Linked DNA regions of Nothobranchius furzeri. The protein of the gene in region 1 purifies or fractionates together with the protein of each later gene. This does not show direct contact. Links are inferred from orthologs where the notes say so. Each region holds a gene or a part of one and is shown in the gene's direction. Other genes may lie near its edges. The genes, in order: dnmbp and bin3.

Region 1 (4,479 bases):
ATGACACTAAATAAAAGAAAAACATTACCGTCACATGTTCCAAACATAGATGATGTTACTTCTTGTAACTCCTGGGAACATCGTCTGGTGTGGCTGGAGCGGGCAGTCCCAAAAAAATGAGCTAACAAAGAATATTTTCAGGTTCCCTTTGGTTTAATTCTGCTACAGTTTCCACAATCCTTAAGTAATTTCCTTCTTGAAAAATAAGAATATTGATAACAGAAGTTTAAAACACCTAAAATTAAAATATGTGTAAGAAATTAGTAAACATTCATTGTGAATTATTAGGAATACAATTTTATTATTAACAGTATAGTATGGTATTAAAACACAAGTTCATTTTCAGTGTAATGATGATAAACTATCTATCTATCTATCTATCTATCTATCTATCTATCTATCTATCTATCTATCTATCTATCTATCTATCTATCTATCTATCTATCATCATCCATCCATCCATCCATCTCATCTCATCTCATCTCATCTCATCTCATCTCATCTCATCTCTCTCTCTCTCTCTCTCTCTCTCTCTCTCTCTCTCTCTCTCTCTCTCTCTCTCTCTCTCTCTCTCTCTCTCTCTCTCTCTCTCTCTCTCTCTCTCTCTACATATATACCGAAGACTTTGACAATTATGTGTAACTAAAGAAATGTACAAAAATCTCAACAAATCATGTGCTAGTTTATTGTTTTTGAGAAAATAATTTGCAGGTTTTATTTTGAAAACCTTTAAAAGTTTTCTTTGAACATTGGTGGCTTTTCAATGAAATTTCTGTCTGTTTTCAGACATGTTCATTTTTGTTTGTTAAGCTCCAAAAATCTGACCTATGAACCGTTCAGACACAAATAGGTCTTAATGGGTTTTTGCTTTTTAACCTCACTGTCACTAACATCCAGTTACACAGACACGATTCAATTAAATTTCTTGATGTGAATCTAAACACCAAAAGTAACAATTTGAAAAACAATAATTGATCTGATAATTTAATTTAATTGCTTAAAACTTGACAAGCTGCCTTTAACAGGCCTTGTTTAAGATATTTAATAGATTCTTACCTTTTTACTATGACCTCCAGATATGGTCCATCTGCTATCTGTCATCTTTTCCAATTTCGTCAGTCGTGTACAAGTGTCGTAAAAAATGAGTGAAAGGAGAACGAAAACATCTGAAGACAATTTTTGACAGACCCCCAAAAGAGTTATCAGTGACAGTCCCACTGAAACCTTTACTTTAATTTAGAAACAAAAATAATTCCTGTTTTATTCAGGAACATAACAATACAAACACACGCGCTTTTTCCTTTTTTCATAAATTTGGTTCGTTTGGAATCAGTTTTCATGTGATTTAAGTCAGGCATCTGCAGGGACACCCCCCAGTGGGAAAAGTGGGAGGCGTTGTTCTATGAAGGCACGAAGAGACGCAGAACAGCCCAGCGCGGCTTCTCCCATGTCTACCGTGATGACAGCTGAGCGTACAGAGACCTCCATGCACCCGGGACAGTCGTGGCACTTCCTAGCGTCAACATGCCGCCTTTAAGATCCCGCAGGGCATCTGGGAACCCTCGGGACGCGTAGCTACCTAAAAGTTGTGTCGCTGAAAAAGGAAACGCCACCAACACTTCACCAGGTTGAAGAAGTTGGATATCTAGTCTGACGAACTCAGATTTTCAACATACTTTACAGGTAAGAAAAACGCAAGAAAACCAAATCCTTTGACTTTTTCACCATTCTTGCTTAATAAAAATCCCATAATTTGATGTAAAATGCTCATCTGCGTGAATATAACCAGTTTACAACACAAATATTCCCAGCTTCTGTCTGGAGGACCTGCGTGCGGTCACGTTGCGCTTTGCTTTCTGTTGGGCTGATTTATGATCTCAACGCTGTTGCAGGCAGTTGTTTTCTACTTTAGACGTTATTTATTCTTCAGGGTCCTCAGTGTGAATACATTACTGAGGTGAATGGGTTAGAGTGCTGCAGACCGAGTAATCCTCCCTGCTGTGTGTCAGCTGTGGCTTCTGCTGTCAGTTGTTCCACCATGTAGACACACACACACACACACACACACACACACACACACACACACACACACACACACACACACACACACACACACACACACACAACCTCCAACCAACCTGCCTTAATTAAAATCTCAGTTTTAGGATGTTTTTTGTGCTTCTGAGAGTAAACTGATGACATTGCAGCTCCACATAATGAGGTGGTGTAAATAGATTTGTGTCCTCCAATGGACACAGGGATTATTCTTGTCCACTACAAACACTTGGGGGCATTATTCCAGTCTTACATTAACATTATTTATGGGATAAACTTCAAGTGCAGATGACCTCCTGACCAGTCTCTGGATAAATGGTGTTTACATCAGACTGGGCAGCAATCTCTTTTTGAATTGAATCCATTTGAACCCTACTGATAACCTGAATGTATGTCTTGTGTAATTACACCCACATCCAAAGCTGATTTAACATCAGTTTTCCATTACAGCACAACTTCTTCAGAAATGCTAAGATATTCCTGCTTGATATGACCACTGGATGCATGTGGAGTGCTACATTTAACCTCTACTGGTGATATCTTGTCTTGTAATTAGACGTACGCATGGTGGCAGTTTTAAGGTTCTTCAAACAGCGTTGCATGAACTGTCCTTAAGTTTTGGAGACTGGATCTGATTTTAGGCTTTAAATCATTTTAATCTATAACATCTTATAGCAGTTTCTTTAATAAGCCATTTAACTGCTGTCAGTTTTACAACATTCAGCTGAAAATGTCATTCCTGCTATGTTTATGGTTTTATATCATAATTCATTTCTAGGTAATTACTTTATGTTGATACTGAAACAGGTTTTGAGATGGAAACTGTCATGGCTCCCATGTACATAGACACCCCATGGACTGGCGCTGCCTATTGGAACTGGCATAGCAACGGGCTGCCATGTTGGATGGGGACAGCAGCTCAAGAGGGAGAGCAGGTTGTCCAGTAATCAGAAGGTTGCAGATTTGATCCTGGCTCTGATCAGAGAATGCTGCTGTTGTGTCCTTGGGCAAGACAGTTAACCCGCCTTGCCTGATGAGGGTGGTCAGAGGGACAGATGGCGCCAGGAAAGTTTATCCAACTAAAAATAACAAATTTTATTTATGCTTATTTACACAATCAGCTATAGCATGGTAGTTAAAATATAAATATTATTAAATAAAATAAAATAATAAAAAAAAAAAAGATCCCAACAGGTAGGTTTGAAAAGTCAATAGAAGTCCCACGTGATCTGTTTTCAATAGTGCGCCTGTTGCAGCTTTAGGCTGCACAAAAACCAGGCAGAGTTGCTCACTCAACTTTGCCTCCAGGTTTGGAGAGTGAGGAATCCATCCAACATGGCGGTGACGATGTTACGCTCATAGACATGAATACATAGACGTCCCTTTGGGGCAATGGAGAGCGTAACCTTGCACTATGGAAAACAGATCACGTTGGATTGGATTACTTTAGACTTTTCTAGCCTACCTGCTAGGATTTTATGTTTTAATTAATTTATTTTCATTTATTAGATTTCTGTTTTAATTATGCCATACTATATATCTGATTTTGTGAAAAAGCATTATAAAATGTGTTTCTTTAGTTGGGTAAGCAGCACCTTCCTCCGTAGAAATAAATGCACTGGGGGCAAATAGAGACTCATCCAAGATGACACTACGACAGCTTCAACAGGCAGTGCCAGTCTACAGGGCGTCTACGTATATGTCTGTGGTTAAGCTCTCCAGCACCCAATGGAGCGTCTACGTATTCATGTCACATAGCCCTCTGACTAGCCCTTTTGCATTTGCTTTGCAATACTTTTGTGCGTTGCCTGTGTGTTAGAAAATACTTAATTCTGTGTATTTGCTGTTTGTGTGTACAAAAATTGAACAAACTCAATTTGGTTAATTTACATGTATGCATCAACCAATTAACAACATGTTAAAACAGCTAAGTAAACTAATTTAACCCTCCCACTGTCCTAATGGGTGTGACCCCGTGAGGAAAGTTGACCATTGAGCAGGGTTGATGGTTTATCCCTTGAGGTCCACATGGCAGGGGTGAGGTGGTGCTCACTCCTCAACCCTACCACATGGACCCAAGGGATAAACCATCAACCCTGCTCAATGGTCAACTTTCCTTGCGGGGTCACACCTATTAGGACAGTGGTAGGGTCAAGGGAAACAACTGTTTAGTCCAGTAGTGATGCAGTTCAATGCATTTTATTTTAATTTAGCAAAGAAAAAAAATTACTTTGTAATTTTAGTGCTTATAACATATTTCGTTAAACAGCTGAGGTTTAGTTGTTGATCAAGCTTACATGGTATTCCATAAATAGTTTAAACAACAAAGGTCATTTGTGTGCAGTGAATTCTGTTTTGAAAAAGTTAAATCCTACAAAATTTGATTTAATGTCATCACATTTTGTATAAATAGTGTGTATTTTG
Region 2 (3,809 bases), on another chromosome or scaffold:
GCCCATAAGTTTGTTTGCGACAGCTAAAGGCTGTGTTGATTTTTTTCTTACCAGGGGAGAGCGGATCGTGGATCGGCTAGTAGAAGCTAACCATTAGCAGTAACAACTCCACAACACGGCAGAACAAATTCAGTCTTGTGGAGATAAAACATCAGCGTTGCATTTTTGTAATCAATAAAGCGCGAACAGAGGCAGTGGAAGAGTTGCTCTGCTGTTAGCCAATCAGAGATCAGATGTTTGTGTGTCATGGATAATAATGAGTGTTTCCCGCCTCCTACTACTCCGACTAACTTCTGCTTCCGGAAACAGGAGCGCGAGAGCTTTTTCCCCACACAGAGATTGACTCACAGGGCATTCATTTATCCAAGAGACCACACTGAAAACCCGAGTGAATGAGAGCTTTACCAGGTGATGCAACTTTTAGTTTTTATCTCAAACGAAAAGGCAGCAATGCACTCGTAAACACATTCTCCTATTTTTAGAGCTCTCGTGCATTCTTTACAGTAGTGAGTTATGTGATAGTGAGAGTCGAGAGGGGACGGCCAGCCTCAGCCAAGCCCAAGTCTGGACCAGACTTGGGCTTGGCTGACAGCTCAGACTGGCCCGTCTGTGGATTGGCAACTTCTCATAAAAAACACATGGATTCATACGCTATTTCCATCCAGCCACTTCACCGCACCCTGACCTGTCACATGGACAGCAGTGTGCCCTCAGCCCGCATTCAGCGTCTAACCAGGAAACCCTCACACAAAACCAAACCTGACCAGTAGTTCAGCCAGGATCAGGAAGTCTAGGGAAAAGTCCCAGGTCGGGGTGGTTTTAGAGCGAACTGTCCCAGGAATGTTGCATGCTTTCACACATGACTCCGGAAACAGCCGAGTCTCTGAGATGGAGAAACGAGAATGGAATGGGTTAATTAATAGACTACTGTTTCCTGCTTCATCTCAACTGTGATGGTTGGGATGTAAAGTCTTTGTGTTTAAATAAAGTTACTACCACCAGCGGTCTTGCCTAATTATCAGGTGTAAACATGCATTGGGGCTTGTCGTGAGAAAGAAAGCAGCAGGTGAACGACACCAGTGATTTATCTATGATCCATTGTGTCGTGTAAAAGCTGGTTTGCCGCTGCATTGTCAGCACAGAACAAATATGTTGGAGAGCGGTCATGCCTAGAGGGTAGTTACATAATCCCTTGGCACTTAGAAGTATGCGTACACTGGAGCAGATAGTAGACTTGAGGATCGGCATCCACCCCTGCCGTAAACTGGGCCAAAGTGGGATTTTATAAATAGCGGTAAAGCGTGGGCCGTGGGGCTGGGCCCTGTTGAGCTATGTGATGTCACTTATACACTACAAGACCACTCCTTGCTCAACTTCCTGCTGGAAATGATCCCTGTTTGTCTGAAAGCAAGCCTCAGCTCTCCCCCTTGCCCCATCAGCCTGCTGTAGGTGTTCTTTTCAGACAGAGTTGTTGTTTAGGATTTCACAACCAGTTCACGAGTTCTTAGTGGTTCCTGCAACTGCTGCACACACACAGCAGGGCAAGAGATGGCGTGGAGAGGAACGTAAACTATGTAGCCCACACATTTTGTGGCTAATAACGCTATGGGTAGAGAAAAAGAAGGCTATTCTAGTAGCGAGCCTACGCAGCTGATAAAACGCTTTAAATGACTCATTGAAAAACGGTTGATCTAATTCCTCATTACGACTGTTTTTACTCCTGACTCATATGTAGTAGGCACCTGTGTGAATAATTCTGGAGTCTGCCTTTGAAAACACTTTTACTGGTTTCTGTTTTGGTTTTAAAAAAAAAGAACCAAAGATGGATTTTGCCCGAGTTTTGGTGATGCTGGCGGCCATTTCACCCAAAGAAGTTTCACATCCAGACTCTTGATGAAATAGCACGACTGTTTTAATGGCTCCTTTACTCTTTTTACTAGACATGTCTGTTTTTCATAAAATCATATTAGATGTGATATGTATATATTTGCATACAGTATTCCTGCTCCCCGTCAACCATAAACCCAGCGCAACAAGTCCCAGGATGAAGCTCCGACTCCTGTTGCTAAGTTACAGATGAATGCTTTCCTATTTTTAGTGCAGAAGACCAGGATTCTTGTTGCAAGAATATATTTTCATTTGGAATATGATAATTGTCACAAAGTGAATTGTTTCATGCCACTCTGAACTATAGTAATTAGATAATAGATGAGAGGAAGCTTAATGCAGAGCTGTCCTCTGAGAGCACCTCTACAGTAAGATGTTGAGAGCAATTTCATTAAATCATGATGACGTTTATGGAGATGTGATGGAATGCAGAATCTGAATATTTCACAAAGTTTCTTTTATTTTCCTGCTGGCGAAGTCTGCCGTCGCTTGACGTTTCTGTTTGCTGGCTCGTTTCAGGTACAGCGGCGTCTTCCCGAGCCTGAACATGGCGGTGAAGCGTCGGGAGCAGGCGCTGCAGGACTACAAACGCTTACAGTCCAAAGTGGAGAAATACGAAGAGAAAGAAAAAAACGGACCCGCCATGGTTAAGCTCCATCAGGTGCTGCTAGAATCCTGACTGTGACTCGAGGGGAGCGGGGTTCACCTGCTCGTACGTGTGCCGTGAACAGAGCGAGATGAGCGGGGAAAAGACACAAATGCTGACTGGATGTGAATAAAGTCGTTGAGCACATGCACACAGTACATGTGCACTCCTTCACCCACGCAAGCTAGCAGGCTCTCGAGTAGTGCCGTTTCAAAAAGGCACTGCTGCACATCTACAGGCACATAATTGAGAATTGTAGACACACACACACACACACCACGAGGCCACTACCGAAGTACACACATTCACAGATAGTGTTGCACGGTTGCCTATGCTATTGCCTTTAACACATCCTCACACGGTGAGCCTCCCACACACACTGAGAAAAGCACTGTCAGGGGAACAAAGCCTTGAAGAGGCCCTACATGCCTGCCCTTTGAGTCCATGTGCACTTAAAGAAATGATCCTTATACAACGTTTCTTTTACTGTTTTAACTTCCATCTGGGAGGAAAATAGACGGAGAGGTGAGGAGGGGAGTAAATAAACAGTATGTTACGGTTTCCTTATAGCAGCTCCCCTCCTTCCCCTTAATAAAAATTCTCACCCTTTCACAATAATTGTTTGTGCCTTCCATACCTCCATGCCTACAGCAGACTACCCACTAATACATTCACACGGAGATCCGTGGTGCTGGAGTCCACTCACAGCCAAGTCTGCCCACATCACCCACTCCTCCTCACTCTGGTCGTGATTACAGCCTTTTTTTGCGCTGCATCTCTGTGGGAATAAGGCAAATGTCTTTCATAACAATAAGAAAAAGATCAGTAAAGATGCATCAAGGAATGATTGTAGCTTTGACTAACCGTTATCACTCGGTAGGTATTTTGAACCTGTGTAGAAAAATGTGTCGTGTGATTTAAACGACACACATCGGTGTTCTCGGCTCTAAATTTAGAACCGTCAGGCGCTGACCTCTGCTTTTTTTTTTCTTTTCTTCCACGCTCCAGGCTAAAGAAGAGCTCCGACCGGTCAAGGAGGATTTTGAGGCCAAGAACCAGCAGCTGCTGGACGAGATGCCCAAATTCTACCAGAGCCGCATCGACTACTTCCAGCCCAGCTTTGAGGCTCTCATCCGTGCACAGGTTGGTGCTCCTCTGCAGGAGATCGGAGGCTGTCGGAGCTGCAGACACACCCTTCCAGCTGTGTGTGTTTATCTCAGCCCGTCTGTCTCCCGCCCTGTGGTCCTAACGTGATTAACCCCACGGTGACGACCCA

What was found.
Region 2: the proteins of dnmbp (region 1) and bin3 purify together in Homo sapiens (co-immunoprecipitation; 5 studies listed by BioGRID and IntAct, counting the BioPlex papers as one, with this or other methods). This does not show direct contact. The link is inferred for Nothobranchius furzeri from reciprocal best matches to the Homo sapiens genes DNMBP and BIN3.

Annotation. Positions count from the first base shown.
Region 1 is NC_091756.1:38,440,924-38,445,402, reverse strand, and holds the start of dnmbp (dynamin-binding protein), read left to right. Parts: upstream 1-1,477; 5' UTR 1,478-1,683; intron 1,684-4,479. UniProt on the Homo sapiens protein: Plays a critical role as a guanine nucleotide exchange factor (GEF) for CDC42 in several intracellular processes associated with the actin and microtubule cytoskeleton.
Region 2 is NC_091757.1:40,408,383-40,412,191, reverse strand, and holds part of bin3 (bridging integrator 3), read left to right. Parts: intron 1-2,406; coding exon 2,407-2,548; intron 2,549-3,541; coding exon 3,542-3,676; intron 3,677-3,809. UniProt on the Homo sapiens protein: Involved in cytokinesis and septation where it has a role in the localization of F-actin.